Pelodiscus sinensis: one gene and its partner. The protein of the gene in region 2 interacts with the protein of the main gene of each other region in a biochemical or structural test. Links are inferred from orthologs where the notes say so. Each region holds a gene or a part of one and is shown on either strand. Other genes may lie near its edges.

Evidence for each region. The genes of interacting proteins can lie anywhere in the genome.
Region 1: the proteins of DTL (region 2) and KMT5A form a complex in vitro, tested with the Homo sapiens proteins (2 studies listed by BioGRID, with this or other methods). The link is inferred for Pelodiscus sinensis from reciprocal best matches to the Homo sapiens genes DTL and KMT5A.

What each region holds. Positions count from the first base shown.
Region 1 is NC_134725.1:31,416,599-31,426,148, forward strand, and holds the start of KMT5A (N-lysine methyltransferase KMT5A), read right to left. Parts: upstream 4,605-9,550; 5' UTR 4,381-4,604; coding exon 4,341-4,380; intron 3,753-4,340; coding exon 3,658-3,752; intron 624-3,657; coding exon 467-623; intron 1-466. UniProt on the Homo sapiens protein: Protein-lysine N-methyltransferase that monomethylates both histones and non-histone proteins. Specifically monomethylates 'Lys-20' of histone H4 (H4K20me1).
Region 2 is NC_134713.1:146,924,218-146,934,204, reverse strand, and holds the start of DTL (denticleless protein homolog), read right to left. Parts: upstream 3,802-9,987; 5' UTR 3,716-3,801; coding exon 3,670-3,715; intron 3,075-3,669; coding exon 2,949-3,074; intron 1-2,948. Other genes in the region: INTS7 (integrator complex subunit 7), read left to right, coding at 4,190-4,280, 8,827-8,956. UniProt on the Homo sapiens protein: Substrate-specific adapter of a DCX (DDB1-CUL4-X-box) E3 ubiquitin-protein ligase complex required for cell cycle control, DNA damage response and translesion DNA synthesis.

The DNA.
Region 1 (9,550 bases), on a different chromosome or scaffold from region 2:
GGGAGCGGGGGGGGGGGGGGGGGGGACAGAAGGAAATGTACGTAGCCTATAGTATTAATCTATAAGCTTTTGATTAACCGTTAATCAACTACACTCTTACATCTCTAGGCTCCCTACTGGGGCTCTTGTACATTTCAAAGAGGAAAAGCCTGGGGCTAGTGGGGGACTCTATACATTTCAAAGTTGGAATCCCGGTGCTGCACCCCTGCCCCCTCCCATGGAGCTGGGGGGGAAACAAGCTTTCAAGCCAGCTCCCTCCAGCACTACCTTCTCTTCCCTTCCTTGATGCCTCTTTCTGATAGAGGCAACAAAGGAGGTGGAGAAGCGACTAGTTGCTTTCATCCCTACTGGGAAGGCAGAGAGTCTACAAAAAAAGGTACAATTTCAGATCCCAGTTTGAAAGTTTGAGACATACAGACACAGGGCCAAATAACCCACAAGCAAATTTGTGGAAAGTCAATCTTACCATCTCCTCTTTTGCATGTTTCATTTAGTGTTTTGCACTGACATTTCACCTCATGAGGCATGACTGAGTTTTCCTCTTGAAGTGGAGGACGAGCACCAGGAGATTTGTTAGGACTTAGGTAGGTGTAGATTTTGGACTGGCCAGCAAATACGTTCTCCTAAAACAGAGAACCAAAAAAGATTCATGTCAAATAAATCTCAATCCCAAAGACTCCAATTATCTGCATCATGCTGCATAGGCCAACACCCACATAACTGTAACATTTTGCATCTGAATAGCAGAGGATCCATTTATCTAAACACACACAGACACAGACACAGACACAGACACAGACTGTGATTAGTAATACAAGTTAAACCTCTCTAGTTAGGCTGCTTTGGGACCTGTCCAGAGCTAACCAGAGAATTTGCTGAACCACAGGAGGTCAATATTGTCTAGCAGCATTATTAACACTTCAACTGCTTATTGGCTCTTTGAAGATGTAGGAGTAAATTAGAGCTAAATCACAGCAAAGAACACAGAGCCAGGACTGATAGCTGTAAACAAACATTATGAGATCAAAGGAAACTTGGCCACACCCATGATAAGTGCACATCCAGTTAACTGAACTCATGCTGGACCACAGAGGTTGCTAAACCAGAGAGTGCCAGACTAGAGAAGTTAAACCTGTAGCTTGTGCTAAGAATTTGCATGGCAATGTCTGTTCAGAGACACTTCCTCAAAAACAAACTAAATACATAAGGCAGGACAATGTAGCACTTTAAAGACTAACAAGATGGTTTATTAGATGATGAGCTTTCGTGGGCCAGACCCACTTCCTCAGATCAAATAGTGGAAGAAAGTAGTCACAACCATATATACCAAAGGATACAATTAAAAAAAATGAACAAATATGAAAAGGACAAATCACATTGCAGAACAGGAGAGGGATGCGGGGGGGGGGGGGGGGGGAGGAGGAAGGTAAGTGTCTGTGAACTGATATTAGAGGTAGGGAGAGTGGGATGTTTGTGAGTTAATGGTATTAGAGGTGATGATTGGGGGCTTCAACTACCCCAGACTAACACGGCTACATTTCTATCACTATTCTATAAATGCATAAGGTTAGTTTACTTAAGTGTTAGGGTACAGGTCTAAATTCTTTTCTTGGGATGTGTACCCAGTCCCAAGTGACTTAAACATAAGGTGCAATGCTAGTGAGAGAGCAGCATCTGGTGCTCATTTCTCTCTCAAATGTTTATTTTTAACAGAATAATTATTCAATGTGATGATTTTCTCTGCATTAGTGCAGACCAAAGACCAATATAATCCATTATTTAGAAAGCTGATGTTTCCCCTGAAATTGCATTAAAAAGAAAAATCAAAGGCTAGTTTAAAAAACCCTCCGTTTTGATAATAATAATCTGGAGTTTCTTCTACGACCCCCATTCAAAAAAAATCAATTGGAAAACATATGTCAACACATACAGTACACAGAGGTACAGATGATCAGAGAGAACAGTCTAACCAATTGGAAAATTAAGCAGCATTGTTTCTAGCACACTGTCTGAGCAGGTTAGAAAGCATTTCATTTTGGCATCATGACAAGATGGTGTTTGGGAGAGAACTTCTATTAAATTTTTCTCCATCTATTCAATCAATAATGAGCTCAAGAACACAGCAGAGCACTTTAACACAGGTAAGTGTCTCACGGGCATATTTAAGTCCCACTGAGAGTGAAACATGCTCCAGGAGTCCAACAGAGTCCATGCGCATATTTAGAAAGACAATCCACCATGAGTGGTGCCTCATTCCAGTGAGCTAAGAACGTAAACATGGCAAAACTGGGTCAAACCAATGGCCCATCAAGTATCCTGTTTCCAAAATGGCCAGTGCCAGATGCTTCAGAGAAAGTGAAAAGGGTGATTTATTGAATGATCATCCCCTGCACTTGTGTGGGAAAGGTTTATATGGGGTCTTAGAGAAGTACCATTATCTACTACCCCCTCTCACTTTGACTCTTAAGTTTTATGTAGCAATTCTGATTTTCAATCCCACCATGTCATGATTATGTTGATGTAATTTAGCTAAAAGTAAGATTGCCTTGCCTATATTTCCTTACACACACACAAAAAAACCCCCCACAGATTTTCAGATTCAAATGAAAAAATATTTTTCACTAAAAAGGAACTTTATAGTAAAGCATGAAATGTACCACATAGCTGAACATAAGGGTGCATAAACAATGACATGTAAAGGGAGCCTATTATGGAACATATATGTAACTTAAAAACTGATAAACTGCTTAAATGTTGTCACCTTAATCTGATTTAGCTGTAATTTGTAATCTTTACCCAAGAGCAACATTGTATTAGTTCCTGGCCATTTCAAGGCTCTCAGAGTAGTGTATATCTATACCCCCTCATTTAAGACCTTTACCTATCTAGAAATAGTTTTCTTCATTCTGTACTTTAGGTCCCAAGATTGTGGACACTTAAAGATGCTTTAATTTCAATGCAACTAATCACACGCTAGAAGTCAGGCACAGAGGATAAGTATTTGGAGGACCCAAGACTGCCATTTCTTCCAGGCAGGGAGATACTAATTGTTAGTGCTTATACAGCTTCCATAGGCCCATCTGCTGCCCTGATTCCTACAGACAGACCATTTAGCCTGGCCAAAGCCTCAATGAATGGGGACCAGCTTGCAAGATTGAAGCTAGAGTGACTCTCGCATCCTGCCTAGGGCTTGGAAGGCTACTGCAGTAACAGCAACAGCAGCTTCCTACACGGGTAATTTTACTCACGTGAGCAGGTTCATTGACTTCAGTGCGCCCGCCGCTGCGGCAAGTTCCCCAGATGGAAGCAGCGGCAGCCAGGCCTGTACAGAGTCCCAGCAGGAGGGGCTGCGTATGGCCACGTCTGCTTGGGCGGGGAGCAGCTCAGGGCGCCCCTTAGTTGGGGCGCGCGGCGGCAGGCCCAGGCTGGATGCAAGAGGCGGCATCACAAGGACTCCTACACATATTCTCCCGCCTCCCCCAGCTCCTGCAGCGTCCCCCTGCCCTGGGAGGGGGAGGGGATTTTGCCTTGCTCCCCAGACCTAGGCTCGTTTTCCCGGGGCGGCTTCTGAGGCGCCTCCGCAGCCCGGTGGCCGGCTTGGAAGGGGCACGAAATTGCTTTTCTGCCGAGCGCGGGGGAGACGGGCAGGGCGCTTACCCCGTTCATCCTGGGGCGGCCGGGCCCCCGCCGCTCGGTGCTCTCCGGAGCCGCCTCCTCCGCTTTGCCGCCGCGGGGCTTGGGCATGGTCTTGCCTAGGGGAGAGCAGGGGAAGGAGGCATCAGAGCCATGCCCGGCGCCTGCTTCACTTGCCGGCAGCGGCCAAAGCCGCCGCCACCTGCGCCATGTTCCAAGGGCTCGGTGCAGCGAGCCAAGCCCAGGCAGCCCTGCCCCTTCGGGGCCGGCCCAGCGCGCACCCCGCTTGGGGGAGGAGCCGCCGAGGACACGCTGCGGCGAGCAGAGAGAGAGGAGACAAACCAGCCCGGCCGCTGGGGGGCTGAGCCCCCCTCCCAAGGAAACACGCGTCTCCCTAGAGCCCCGCTCACAGCGCCCCCGCAAGACAGACCCCCCCCGAGTCACCCAACCGCGTCCCAGCCCCTGCCCCCCCACGGGTCCCACAAGCCCCCACCGCGTCCCAGCCCCCCAAGTCACAGCCGCCCCAGATAGCCCCGCTCCATTCACACCCCGCAGCCCGCGCCCTTCCTCAGAACGCCCTCGCCCCCACGTGCTACCGCCACCCAGCCGCTCCCTGCCCCGCATCCCACACATGCCAGCACGGCTCCCTCGGCGCCGCCACCCCACATGCGCCCCCTGCCCATCTCCAGCCCCGCCCCCTTGCTTACCCTGCTCCTGGCACCTGTCAGGATGGCTACCTTTAGCCATGGCTCCAGGAGCCGGCGGTCTTGGCAATAGTCGGAGAACTCCCTGGGGCTGCTGCACCGAGACAGCACGGCTGTCGAACTGCTCCAAAGAGATACACTGAGCTCTCACCTTCCGCTGCCTGATTGGCGCCCCCAGGTGCCTGTCACAATTCTCTGAGCTTTGATTGGAACGCAACGGGAACACGTCCCGCCTTCCCTTATTGCATTGGAGCCATCTGAGTCAGCGCGGCTGCCTCCCGGTGAGGGTGTTTAAATGTGCGTCCCCTGCTCGCTGATTGGTCCACGCGAAGAGACGTGGGGCTGTGATTGGAGCTTTGTCTCCCTCGCCTTGTGGGCGAGACGTTCTGGATCCTGTGACAACTTTGGGTTCAACCTAGCCACTGTGTGTGGGGCTGTGGGCTTTAAGTTGGCGGTATATACCAGGCCATATTTGTACAGAGCGGCTCCCTATTGGACTGTGCTACTTGGGGAGAATTTAGGGATTCAGATAATTTCTGTATGGGCTGTTATATTCAACACCCAAATTACATCAAAAGCTAAGGATCAGACACAGCCTACACCATTAGCTTCATTTAGCAGGGAGGAAACTGGACAGGTTTTTTCCCTCCTCCCTCTGTCCCCCTTTTTTTGCTTTAAAATTTTAAGTTTCTGTGCCCCTCTGACTCCACTCATCTGAAGAAGTGGGTTGTGCCCACAAAAGCGCATGATGAGAGAGAGAGAGAGAGAGAGAGAGAGAGTTAGTCTCTAAGGTACTACAGGACCACTCATTTAGTTTTTTAAGTTACAGACTAACACAGCTACCTCTTGGAGAATTTAGGATTACTGAGCATGCTCAGTAGCTCTGCTGAAGCCTGGGAAAGGGGAACCAGGTGTCAGGGAGGGAGCCTCTAGCCCCTCTTCTGTCAGGGGAGAGAAAGGAATATAAGGAAGAGGACCCAGGACCCTGGTAGGGGGCGGAGGCTGCATTGTGAGGAGGAGCCTTGGGGGGGACAGAGGCCACGTGGCGGCGAGGGAGGGCCTCCTCCAGTGGCTGGGGCCGGGACCGGGACCTGCCGCGTGACAGGGGACGGGGTTGAGGCCTGCTTTGGCAGACAGGACTGAGACCTGCCACATGGTGGGGGCAAATGGGGTGCCAGGACCTGCTCGAGGGCTGGGGGTGGCTCAGAGGAGGTGACTCAGGGGGCGTGGGGCTGTGTGTGTGGAGGGAGGGAAGGGTCAGGGCTGCTCTGGCAGCCAAGGCCAGTAGCTGGGGCCTGCTCCAGCCCTAACCCTTCCCCAGGGCTGGAGCTGAGTTCAGGGCCGCAAAGTGGCTTCCTGACTGCTTGTTGGGCTGGCCATATAGTGGCTGCCCAAAGCTGGAGCCAGGCAGTGGTGCTTTAGCTCCTGGGACTGGTGCCTCCTGCACCTCTCTCCCCCCTCCCACACCTTTCTTCTGCCCCTCAGAATTCTGTCCCCCAACCCTCTATCCCCCCTGTTCCCCACATGTCACTCAGCACCTCAATCCCCGAAAATCCTGGGTGCTAGCAGCAGCTTCTTTCTGCTCCAGGTGGGGACTCACAGCCAGCCCTGCAAGGAGCAACCTGGGACAGTGCCTGCCCTGCAAACACGCTGCTCAGGGAGTAGCACTCCCTGGAGTGGGCGCATCATCCCTTCTCCCCAAGAGATGGGGGGGCACTACCTGGGAGAATCTTTTAGGGAGCAGCACCCCTGGTGAGTGCCACAGTGGCACACATCTGAACAAGCATGAGTGACCTCATTGTTGGCACACAAGACAAAACTCACTCCACTCATGGAAGGAAAATCTTAGAGGGAACACTGTCCACAGCCTCAGTCCTGTTGAGCAAATGCAACTTCCATCCCAGAATTAGGTCCAGTGGTTAAAGCAGGGGGGCTAGGAGCCAAGAGTCCTGGGTTCTCACTCAGGGTTTGGGAGGGAACTGGGGTCTAGTGGTTAGAGCAGGGCTGGGGACCTGAGTGCCTGGTTCAGAAGCACAGTGAGGAGGGATTTGGGGCAGAGCGAGGCTCGGGGGGGCTCCCCATCTTCCTGGCCATCTTCTCCTTCATTCACCGCTGCCCCCTGGGAATTGCTGCCAAACTGCTGGGTCTGGTAATGACAAGAGGCTGTGGGGTGGGTTTACCCTTTACTGAATGCTGGGACGTTTAGAAAATGACAGCACTAGTCCCGTCCATAACAACCACACACATATCCAGACATAGAGGAAGGAGCCATTTCTTCTCCAGTGGAGGCATCTTGGTCTCGCGCATGTTTTTCTTGCCGCTCTGTACTGCTAAGCAAGGGGCATTGATGTTTATGTTGCCAGCTGCAGGAGAGACAAGTAGGTAAAGAGAGAGGAAAAAATGATTGTGTGGAGCCTTAGCACAGCTTCCTCCAGTATCCTAAGGCTGCCTGCACTTGAGCCAAACAGAGTCTGGGGCCTTCCATCCTGCCTGTGTACCAGGACTGGAAAGGCTGGAGCTATGCACCACCTGGCAAGGAGGGACATGGGTTGGAGGCCTGCCCCTATAGTGGGGAGCTTGCCTTGCCAGATGCCCAACAGTGGGACTCAGCCAGGAGGGATAGTGCATCCATTGCTCCTATTCTGCTTTTAATTTGCTGTTTCCTTGTAGCTGTAGGCAGGACTCTCCTCCCCTCCACACACACAATTCCTCCTTCGCGTCTCCACTTTGCAGGGAGAAATTCAGGCTGTTCTTCTGTCTCCTTGTTGCCAACAGCTTCACTCCTTCTCCCAGTCCCACTGACCCAGCTTCTGTCCCCACTCATTCCTGTGTGCAAAGCAGCAGCGCTAACCCCTGCATTCCCCTCCTGGGGCCCTAATCCCTGCACCCTTCACTGCTAACCCTTGCACCCCCTTTCTGCACCCACATGGGGACACTAAAGTGGATGCACAAATCCTCACAAGGCACTAAAAGGTACCTGTGATGATTCCCCTCTCCATGCTTTAGGAAGTTTAATTCAGGAATATAAACTGGCAGATGTATCCGGTGTTGCTTGGGTCTTTAACTCTAGTAACGTTCGGGTTATTTTTAAATCAAAAGGAAACACTCTGCTCACTATGCTTGCCAAGCCCCCTCTCTCTGGCCTCTTTTGTGGTCAGAGAGCCAGTTAATCTTGCATTGATAATATAGAAAAGTGAACAAATGAAGCCACATAGAAAAAAATGTTAATTGGTCTATTGATCACGTAGTACATGTTACAGTACTTCCTTAACCGGTAGACATCACCACAGGTATCCAGCTATACGAGGGATATATGCTGATGATATCATTCTGTTGTGCAGCAGGAAAAACTTGTTTATATAGAGAGATGTACATGCGTTATTTCCATGATTGTCTAGGACAGAGGGCTGGGTATGTGGTAGGGTTGCCAGGTGTTCAGTTTTGAATCGGACAGTCCAGTATTTGAGCTTTCTGTCCGGGAAATAAATTGAGAAAATAGAAATTTCCGGTATTTTCTAAATAAGATGGAATGTCGATTGTGATGTCATGTCAAGTATGTCCGGTATTTTTGTTGAAACCATCTGGCAACCCTAGTATGTGGGGGTGGGGCTTTGGCATGGGGTGGAGGTGCAGGATTGAAGCCAGGGAGTGACAGTTGCAGGACTCAGAGCAGGGGGCTGGAAAGCTGGGGGAGGGGGAAGGGGGAAAGCTTACTGGGACTGTGAGGGTGGTGTTGTTGTGGTGGCAACTTACCCGGGGGGGAAGGGCTGCACTCTCCAGCCAGCCATTCCTTTTGTGGTGCCAGCCTGGGACTGCAATTCCTGATTGGTAGGAGACCGGAGCTGCATGGGTGGCCCTGCCCTGCAACCTGTCCAATTGGGAGGCAACACTTTGCAGGCCAGTCCCAGCCTCCAGAACCTTCTCCCCTTGCAGCCTGCAGGCTCTCTGTGCAAGAGGACAGGTTCTGGGGACTGATCCAGCCCTTCAGGGGCCAGTGCGGCCTGCAGGCAGTCAGCAGGATAGGAAAGAGGGCCCCAGGTGCAGGCTCCAGCCTCCAGCAGTCCCCACTCCTTTTCCTGCAGCCTCCCTGGGGGGAGAGGACAAAGGATTTGAGGCAAGGGGAACAACTTACCTGGAGTGGTGGCAAATGGTGTCCCCTGGCCACTTTCTGGGTGATGTGGCTGCCACATATTAGACACTCTGCAGGAGGATTTTCACTGCACGTGTGCTAGTATCAGCCCCACAACCCTCTTATTGTGTGCCTTGGAACAGCAGCCTCCACCATGGGCAGTTATTGAAGCTTCTACTTGGAGAAGCAGTAGCTTCCCAGCCCAGGCCCTGTTCTCTTTCCAGCCATGGGAGAGAGAGACGTGCTGAACAACACCTGGAGAGCTGAGCAGTGTGCCAGGATGGTAGGAAGTGGCCAAGAGCAGAGGATTGTCCTCTGGGAGCTCAGTGCACTTTGGCTGGCATCCACACTGAGAAGGCAGTGAAAGCCTGTACTGCTAACAGGGCTCTGGAGGCTGGGACCTATCTCCCCATTCCATTCCCTGGCACTCTGGGGAGACTGACCTGTGGACTAGGCCTCTAGGCCACAGTAACTCAGAGACGAGTGTGTTTGGGACTAGGCCTACAGGACTGTATTTACCCTGGGTAGAGAGAACTGTACTTTGGGACTAGGCCTCGAGGGCTGCATTTGCCTTGTGAAAAACAGACATTGACCCTGACTTTGGGGTTTCCTGACTGTTGAGGCCCATTGACACCAGCACAGAATTTGAACAGGTTGCCACTTAGCTGTGGGAAAGCTCCAAAGAGCTCCTCTGGCCCAGGTGGAGGGAGATCCATTCCTTCTGGCCACCTATTGTTCTTCCTGGTCCCACCTAGCTGGACCTGGACATGAGGACAGGTGAGCACAGGGTACCTGCTGTTACAAATGCTGTAGCATACATGCAGCATAAAGTGGCTGGCCTACCTACATCTTTGACTAGCCCTCTGATAAGTGATGCTGGGGGAGGCTGGGTGAAGCCCTGCTCTCACTGTCCCTGCCTCTTCTGATAAATTGCTCCAGCATCACATAAGGTAGTAGGAATAATCCAATACATTCCCAAATTGAAATTCTATAATCCAGGAGCTGTGGCTACTGCATAAATAAAGCAGAAAGATTTTGAAATTGTAAAAAACACGTTGCAAAAGTGCTCTTCTTAGCACTTTCC
Region 2 (9,987 bases):
ATCTTACCCATTACAAAGATAGCTTCCCCAAGTATCACCTCTAATATCATTAGCTCACAGACATTTACCTCCCCCCGATCCTCCTTCTGTTCTGAAATTTGATTTGTCCTTTTCATATGTGTTCATTTTTTTAATTGTACCCTTTGGTATAATTTGTGACAATTTTCTTCCACTATTTGATCTGAGGAAGTGAGTATGGCCCACGAAAGCTCATCATCTAATAAACCATCTTGTTAGTCTTTAAAGTACTACACAGTCCTGTTTTTTGTTTCAGCTACACCAGACTAACATGGCTACATTTCTATCACCTTGTTCACAGTGTTGAATAAATATAAAAAATTAACTATCCTCTACAGTTTGGTAATTCCTTTAGGCCAGGATTTAGGCATAGGGCTAGGGATGTAAGCGACTAATCGACGAGTCATTAGTTTATCCGACAGTCAACACACTAGTCAACTAGTCGCTTCCCCCCCTTGCTATCACAAAGAGGCAGTAAGGGGGTGGAAGAGGAGGGATGCTGGAGGGAACTGGCTTACAAGCTGGTTCACTCCATCTCCGTGGGAGGGGGCAGGGGCACAGTGGTGGCCAACTTTGAAATGTACAAGAGTCCCCGCTGGAACACAGAAGTTCTTATAGACTAATCAAATAGACAATGGAAATCCCATCGACTATTCAATTAGCTAATCAATTGAAATTTAACATCCCTACACAGGACAGGAGGGACAGTGTGGAAAATCTTGCACAGCTAATGCCAGTGATTTACCTCCAGATCAGGATTTCAATATCCAGGCCTGTCAATCAAGCCAGCAACTGTCACCCATGAAGAAAGTGATACACATGGGCTGCATCTAGACTGGCATGATTTTGCGGAAATACTTTTAATGGAAAAACTTTTCCGTTAAAAGTATTTCCGCAAAAGAGCGTCTAGATTGGCACGGATGCTTTTGCGCAAAAGCGTCTGTGCCCAGTATAGACGCGCTTTTGCGCAAGAAAGGTCAGATGGCCATTTTAGCCATCGGGCTTTCTTGCGCAAAAAATTAAGGTGCCTGTCTACACTGGCCCTCTTGTGCAAGTATTCTTGCGCAAGAGGGCTTATCCCTGAGCGGGAGCATCAAAGCATTTGCGCAAGAAGCACTGAATTCTTACATTAGAACGTCAGTGCTCTTGCGCAAATTCAAGCGGCCAGTGTTTTAGAAGCACATGGGTTTTAGAAGCACATCTTCCTTCTCATCCGTTTCCATTTACTACTCCTCACTCTATTCCTGATCCTAGTTACTTATGAACAAAGACCAACCTAAATTTGCAAACATCATAGGCCATGTCTCCACTTGCCATGCTGGAGATCGATCTTCTGGCATTAGTGTGTCTAGTAAGAACCCAATAAATCGAACACCAAGGGTGCCCGCCCAGTGGACACCAGGTCTTCTCGTAATTGCAAGGAGTAAGGGAAGCTGATGGGAGCTCTCATCAACCTCTCCCTGTGCAGATAGCACCAAGCTTGACTTTTTTCATTGAGTACCTTAAGCTGACCTTCTGGGTCTAGTACAGACCTAGTTTTAGTGCCACAACAAGACATACTTTGTCTCAAATAAGGCTGAAATCAAAAGTTGTGAAAGTGTGTACATTTATTTAAATGCTTTAATTGAACTCACTTTATTAAAATGCATAGCAATCCCATAATACTGCCAATGGTCCATCATGCTGCATAGTTCTATTTTATCAAATTAAATCATAGGCTGTGTCTACATTGGCACCCTTTTCCAGAAAAGGGATGCTAATGAGACACTTCGGAATTGCAAATGCAAATTTAAATATCCCCCATGGCATTTGCATGAACATGGCTGCCGCCAGGGGCAGATGAGAGTTCCGCGGGGCCCCGGGCAGCAAAATTTCGCGCCCCCCCCCTTTGACACAGCGCATGCGCCGTGGTGCCAAGGCGCATGCGTGGGGCCTCGGGAAACGCGGGGCCCAGGGCAGCCGCCCCGCTCGCCCTGCCCTAAATCCGCCTCTGGCTGCCACTTTTTTCCAGCTCGGGGCTTTGCTGGAGAAAAGCGCCAGTCTAGACGGGATCTTTCAGAAAATAAAGCCTTTTCCGGAAGATCCCTTATTCCTCTTAAAATCAGGAATAAGGGATCTTCCAGAAAAGGCTTTATTTTCCGCAAGATCCTGTCTAGACTGGCGCTTTTCTCCGGCAAAGCCCCGAGCTGGAAAAAAGCGGCAGCCATGTTCATGCAAATGCCGCAGGGGATATTTAAATCCCCCGCAGCATCTGCAATTCCAAAGTGTCTCATTAGCATCCCTTTTCCAGAAAAGGCTGCCAATGTAGACACAGCCATAGTGTTACCCAATTTACCTTAAAGAAATAATGGATTTTTGAATATAGCATCCATATCTGAAAAATGGCAAGGGACATTTTGACCTAAGAGCTTATTCTTAATAGTTGCTCTGGTAGATGTGTCATTAACTGTCTAGTCCAGAGCTACTCAACTTTGGAAGCCCCAAATATATGTAAATAGCTTTTCACACTGAGGGGCATGAATACAAAGATTAAGGCAAGATTACACAACACACAGGCCCCATTTAAGTTAGTTCTGCTGATATTAATAAAATGAAATACTTACCCAATTTCCACCCATATGACAGCACTTTTAATGAGCAATGTCAGTCCAGGAATTTAACTGCTAAAACACGTATCAACCGAAGACCATTATACATGGAGTACTTTTTTGTTTTGGCTCCCACCCGTGGGCCACAAACAGGCTACATGTTAAGTAGCCCTGGTCTAGTCTATTTTGTCACTGATATAAAGGGCTCTTTATGAAACTGAATATTCAAAATAAATGGCTACAATATCTTTCAGGGCGTAGCCGTATTAAAGTCTGTACATATTTATGTGCAGACAGCTTGGGCTCTAGCATAGCATTTTGATTTTAAAAAAGAACACTTACCTGTAGAAAAGGTGCAACCGAAAGGAGGAACTGGCATTCCCGTCTCTCCATAAGAAAAGTGGTCATCTAGCTGACTGCACTCATAGCAATCCAAGAGATGTTGCAGGGGATATTGCAAAGACAAACCTAAAAATATGTGTATTTTGTCATTTATCAGGCATTTTGAGTTGCTGCAATAAGACCTACTAACTTCTTCCAGTAAGAGGTCTTATCCAGGTTTTTGGACGTCGATGGGATTTTCCATTTCGTCATGGGGCCAAAGTACTAGTCATAGTTTGAACACTAAACAGAAGAATCTACATGTACCGGGCATTTGCTGTTCCATTAGCTACAACGATCTAGGGAGAAACGTCCCATGAGACGTGCCAGTCTACCCGATCCCCACACCATCGCGGACAGCTGCGAGCACCTCCCCCGGCTGGAGAGCCTCATCCGTGGGGTGATCTCTCAAAGAGAGGGGCGCCCCAGCGATGGGGCTGCCAAGCAAGGACGGAGAAGGCACCAGGGCCGCACTACAGCTACAGCCATGCGTCGGGGAAAGAACTGGCACCTGCCTGCCCTTCCCCTCTCCGGGGCCCCGGCACCCAGCCCCTCGCGCCGGGCCGAAGCCGAGCAGGCGATCCCAGGAGTTGCGGGCTCAGCACACCGCAGGCAGGGCTCCCGCGGTCGGCAGGGTCGGGCCAGGCGATCGCGGTCCCCGTTGGGGCGGCCCGATACTCACGCTGCGGCCCGTCCCGGGCTCGGTGGAGGAGCGAGCGGCAGAGCATGGCCAGTGACTCCCACAGCGACCGGGACACAAAACGGACAGAGGAGCGTCTACTCCCGCCACTCGCGCTACCCGCCAAACTCCACTCCCGCTTGCCATTGGACAGGACAACGTAGGCGGGGCAGGAGGCCACACCCACTACTTCCCACTGGGCAGGGGCTCCGGGGCGGGGCCCGAGGCCGCAGCCATTTCCCTCTCCCCTAGTCCCCACGCTAGGTGCTACAGACGCTGAGGTTAAGGTGGTAGGTTGAAGCGGATCACTGTACACGGGCAGCAGACCTGGGGGCGGGGAGTACGAGTCTAAATTGCAGCTCGTGAGGGCGCATGCGTCCCGGGACGTAGTGGCGGGAGCGGGAATAGGTCAGTGGTGCGGACAATCGCGCATGCGCAATTGCACTTGAGGCTGAGGCACGTAGGTAGCTGCGCAGTGGGTTTACAGGTCGTGCTGCGATCTAGTGCGGGAGCGGGTACCGCCATGGCCTCCGGCGCTAAGTCCTTCCTGGCAGATGCGGGCTACGGCGAGCAAGAGCTGGATGCTAACTCCGCCCTTATGGAGCTGGACAAAGGTAGGAGAGCGCAGGGCCTAGCCGTGGCTGGAGGCGCATGCGCGCGCTGGCAGCGGAATCTCCGTCTCAGTCGGTCTGGCGCGGTGCGCGCTAACGGCGGGGAGCCGGCCTGGAGACACCGCCCCGCCCAGGCCCAGACAGGCCCCAGCCCGCCCCTCGCCCTCTCCTGCCATCGGTGCCGCCCTAGCGTGCGGCGCGCCGGTTCTTGCCTCTGCCCTGTGTGCCCCCGCCCTCTGGGCAGCCGCAGGACTTCCGGCCCGCGTGGCTTTTCCTGCCTCCCCCCTGCCCTGCCCGCCCAGCGCCTGCTTGCTGCCCTCTGCGCTCACAGAGTCCCAGCGCTGAAAGAGACCTCGGGTCATCTAGTCCAGCCCCCTGCCCAAAGCAGGACCAATCCCAACTAAATCATCCCAGCCAGGGCATTGTCAAGCTGAGACTTAAAAACCTCTAGGGATGGAGATTCCACCCCCTCCCTAGGGAACCCATCCCAGGGCTTCACTGCCCTCCTAGTGAAATAGTTTTTCCTAATACCCAACCTAGACCTCACCCACTGTAACTTGAGACCATTGTGCCTTTTTCTCATCCACTGCAATCCCCGGGTCTTTTTCTGCCAAATTGCTGCTTAGGCAGTCTGTCCCCAGCCTCCCAGGGGCAAGGCACCTGTCAGACCACATCCTGAATTTGGTTTAGTGACAGCCAAGTCCATGGAGATGTGTCTTGTGATGCCTCTTGGCTACTGTGAAAGTTCATTGCATAGATTTATAGACATTGCAGAGACTGGGAAATCTCTTTCCTGCACAGAGCTTTACTCTGATTGTGCCAGAAAAGAGAAGTTGTTAACCATAGTCTTCATTCTAAAGCTTTGGTTGGTCGATCAGCACAGATTCCACTGTAGTGATTTAGTTAAGATGATCTAAATTGAGGGGGTGACCTAAGAGGCAGTAGCTACTCACATACTCTGCCTATAGTGGTGCTGAGGTTGCTACAAATATGATGCACAGAGGTTCATCCCCCTGAGTGACATAGATGTATCAAAGTAATTCTGTAGTGGAGACCTGCCCTTAAATATTTTTGGATCTAGATCTGGAATAATCGATTACTTTTCATAAAGGTCCAAATGTCCTGATCAAAACATAGCCACTGTCCAGATTCCAGAGAAATTGATACAAACAATAACAAGTAAATGAGATTTTGTGGTCCATTCAAAAGTGTCTGCTGGTGTGGATTTGATACACAATGAGGCTACATCTACACTGGCATGATTTTCTAGAAATGCTTTTAACGGAAAAGTTTTCCGTTAAAAGCATTTTCGGAAAAGTGCATCTAGATTGGCAGGATGCTTTTCCGCAAAAGCACTTTTTGCGGAAAAGCATCCATGGCCAATCTAGACGCGCTTTTCTGCAAAAAAACCCCGATCGCCATTTTCGAGATCGGGGCTTTTTTGCGGAAAAGAAATCTCTGCTGTCTACACTGGCCCTTTTGCGCAAAAGTCTTTCAGAAAAAGACTTTTGCCCAAATGGGAGCAGCATAGTATTTCCGCAGAAGCACTGACAATCTTACATGAGATTGTCAGTGTTCTTGCGGAAAAGCGTCCGTGCCAATCTAGATGTGCTTTTGCGCAAAAAAGCCCCGCTTGCCATTTTTGTGATCGAGGCTCTTTTGCGCAAAACAAATCTGAGCTGTCTACACTGGCCCCTTTGCGCAAAAGGACTTTTGCCTGATCGGGGCTTTTTTGCGCAATAGCGTGTCTAGATTGGCATAGACGCTTTTCCACAAAAAGTACTTTTCCGCAAAAAGTTTTCCGTTAAAAGCATTTGTGGAAAATCATGCCAGTCTAGATGTAGCCAATCTACCTATTGACTATGGGTGTAAAGGCAAGCATGCCAGTAAGGCAGTGCTTACCGGGTAACTAGTTAACAGGTTCCTGGCATGGCTGGGCCAGTTAATTGTTCAACATTTTAAATGGGATTTTACATCCCTACTATTGTTTATCTTTGGTATACAGTCAGATCACTAGAACAGTGTAGGGAGTGGAGGATAAGTCTGATGTTGGTTGCCATAAACACAGCGCTGAGGAAACGCTAGTCAGTATTCTGTACCGATTGGGGTTTCCTAAGGTTTCATATCCATCTGTGTTGCATTGCTGTAGTCCAACTAAGAGGTGATAACTTAGGCCAGGTTACCCTAAACTGTGTCACATCCTGGCAAAGGTATGTCTACACTTGTACCCTTTTTTTGAGAGAGGGATGCAAATGAAGACATTGGAAATTGCAAATGAAGCTGGGATTTAAACATCCATGCTTCATTTGCATATTTGTGTTATGGTGCTATTTCAAAATAGCGCTATTTCGAAATAACAGATGCTGTTAAGATAGTTATTTTGAGAGAAAACCCATCTTAACAGCATCTGTTATTTCGAAATAGCGCTATTTCAAAAGAGCGCCATAACGCGAATGTGCAAATGAGATATTTAAATCCCAGCTTCATTGGCAATTTCAAACGTCTTCATTTGCATTCCTCTCTCGAAAGAGGGTGCAAGTGTAGACATACCCTGAGGCTACGTCTACGCTTCAGGCTTTTTGCGCAAAAAGTTGCAGAGTGTCTGTCTACACTGCACTCATGTTCTTGTGCAAGTAAATTTACAGTATGGTGTCGGAAAACCGGGCTTCTTCCAAAAGAGCTATTCCTCTCTCCACAAGGAATAAGGCCTCTTGTGCAAGAGCTCTTCCACAAGAAGGCAGTGTAGACAGGCAACATGAATTTCTTGTGCAAGAAATCCCTATGGCTAAAATGGCCATCAGAGCTTTCTTATGCAAGAGAGTGTCCACACTGCCATGGAGACACTTGCACAAAAGCATCTCTTTCGCAAAAGCACGTGGCAGTGTGGACGCACCCTTGAGGAAGACCTTTTGCACAAAAACTCTTCTGCAAAACAGTTCTTGTGCCAGAAGCCTGGGCTATGTCTACACTCGCAGCTTCTTGCACGAGTAATATGCAAATGAGGCTAAGTGTGGAATATCGCCAAGCCTCATTTGCATACCTAATGAGCCACCTTTTTTTTTTTTTTTTTTTTTTTTAGAAGAGGCTCTTGTGCAAGTAAAACCCTCTTGCGCAATGCAATTACACCTATTACTTGACAGGAAGAATGGTATTGTGCAAGAAGGTTTTTCTTATGCAAGAAGGGGCAGTGTAGACGCTCCTTCTTGCGCAAGAGCCTCTTCTGGAAAAAAAATGGTGGCTCATTAGGTATGCAAATGAGGCTCAGCGATATTCCACACTTAGTCTCATTTGCATATTACTCGCTCAAGAAGCCGCGAGTGTAGACATAGCCCTGCAGTGTAGGTGTAGCCTTGATGTTAGTGAGGAATCGAGGAGCACTTCTAAGCTATAGACTGAATGAAATTACTTGTTTTGAGAACACTTAACAGGGCTAGCCAAGCAGTGGCAAGTCCTGCTCGCCAGCTGCATGGTTTCGCGCAGTTCTGTGCTCTGCGCCGGCTCTTACGAGTTGTAATCTACTCGGTGGCGAGTAGATCACATTATTTGTCGGGCCCTGCTTATTAACATGAAGTTCTTGTCTAATACAACATGACTCAAGCTGTCTGTAGCCTTCTCATGCTGCTGCAACATACATGATTAATAATCATATTAACTAAACTGAGTATGGATTCAAATCTGTAGGAACTGATGGAAAGTTAGTGCCTGGAATTTGCAGCATTGTATTGTATGCTTGCTCTGTTGCCTTTGACTGTGTGTATCTAATATCTCAGTGATATTTCTCAAGCATATTCCTGAACTGACTTAGTATGGAAAGAAACAGTAGTACAGTTAGCACAGCTTTTAAATAGTGCTAATTATGAGTACATATGTTTTGCTTTAAAACTATTTTGCTCACTTGTTAATGACAGAAGATTGACTCAGTTTTCAACTGATAAGAACCAATAGAAATGTTAGACATTGGTATTAAAAATATCAGTTTTAATCATTCTTTCTGCAGAGAATATTTAACTTCACTTTCAGAAAAATCAACGTTACCTTGCACATTTTAAATTTTGAATGTATGTATGTTTTATCCTATCCAAGGCCATGATCCTACAAACATTATATCATATGTGTAACTTTGCTCACCCGAATAGTCCTATAATTTTCAATGGGACTGTCCATGAGAGTATAGTTAAATGTGCGTTTAAGTGTTTTCAGGGTGGGGACAACTGTACTGGATGTTCTCATTCATATAAATGTCCAATCCTTTCCCCTCCCCCAGATATCCAGCTAAGGTTTCTGCCTCCATTGTATCTTGTGTGTTCTGTAGGTTAACTGCATTGTGCATGTATGGGGAGTGTTTCTTTTTTGACCAGTTGAGGATGTTTTGCTTTTCAATTTCATTATGTAATATATTTTACAAGAGGGTGAATAGCCTAATTTACCTCACATGCTAGATTTCATTGATGCCCCATATTATTTCCACTCTAGATAATCTCTCAAGTTTTTCAATCATAGAGAAAACCATAACTATTCTGCTAGAATATAATTATTCTTTCTCACATAGGCCTCAGGTCTGGAAAACTTGGGGAGCAATGTGAAGCTGTTGTCCGTTTTCCCAGGCTCTTTCAGAAATATCCATTCCCCATTCTCATTAATTCTGCATTCCTAAAACTGGCTGATGTTTTTAGAGTTGGGTAAGTAAAATTGATCATATTGCAATGTTTCACATCTCTGATTCTCAAGTAGTACATTATTTCCTCTGATCCCTGTTCCCTCTGAAGCCTAGATAATCTTCCTGCTTTCCTACTTCACAGCTGCTCTCCTGTCTAAGGAGATTTGGATGGACTCTGTTTGGAGCCAGCTGGCATGATCCTTAGGGCTTTGGAGGGGCAATGAACAATTGAAGGCATTGTCATTCTGTCCTTCTAAGTAGAGCCCTGCAAATCCACGGATATCTGCTTTATATCCATAGTCACATACACATCTGTGGATGTGGATACCCATCTGCAACTTTTTTTTTTTTTTTTTTTTTTTTGTTGCAAATACAGATTTTTTGTATCTAGAATACAGCAAATGTGCAGAAATCCATTTTCTATCCATGGGCATTTAGGATATTAAGAGATGGGTAATTTGCTAATTGTGTAGTCGATGATAAATTTTTATCAACTACACGATTAGTCGATAAGGGAAGAAGCAGTTAGTCTTGTCTTTTGCTGGGTCCAGGAGCTACCCCCACTGAGGCTTTGCAGTTTAAATGCAGTAGGAGCTGGGCAGGCAGGCAGCCCAGTGTCTTCTACATTTAAATTGCAGATCCTCAGCAGGGGTAGGTCCCCGGACTAGGGATGTAAGCAACTACTTGAGCAGTTGACTACCCCATGAGCATAGACTCAGTCTCTGTATCAGAGGCAGCAAGTGGTGAGGAGGTAAGCAGGAGCCAGTGCTGAAGGGAGCTGTCTTTAAAAACCAGGTCCCCCCTAGCACCATCTCTGCTGTGCATAGGGTATGGGCAGGGGAGGCACAGCTGCAGTGGTCCTGGCACAAGTCAGGACTGCTCAGTCCCGCTGGGAGCCACCCACGCTGCTGCTCTTCAGAGCACCTCCTCATATTAACTAATCGTGTAGTTGATACAAATATCGACTACACAATTGTCGAATACCCGTTCCTTAACATCCTTATCCTGGGCCCGGCTCACACCACATCCAGGAGCTACTCGTGCTGTGGTTCT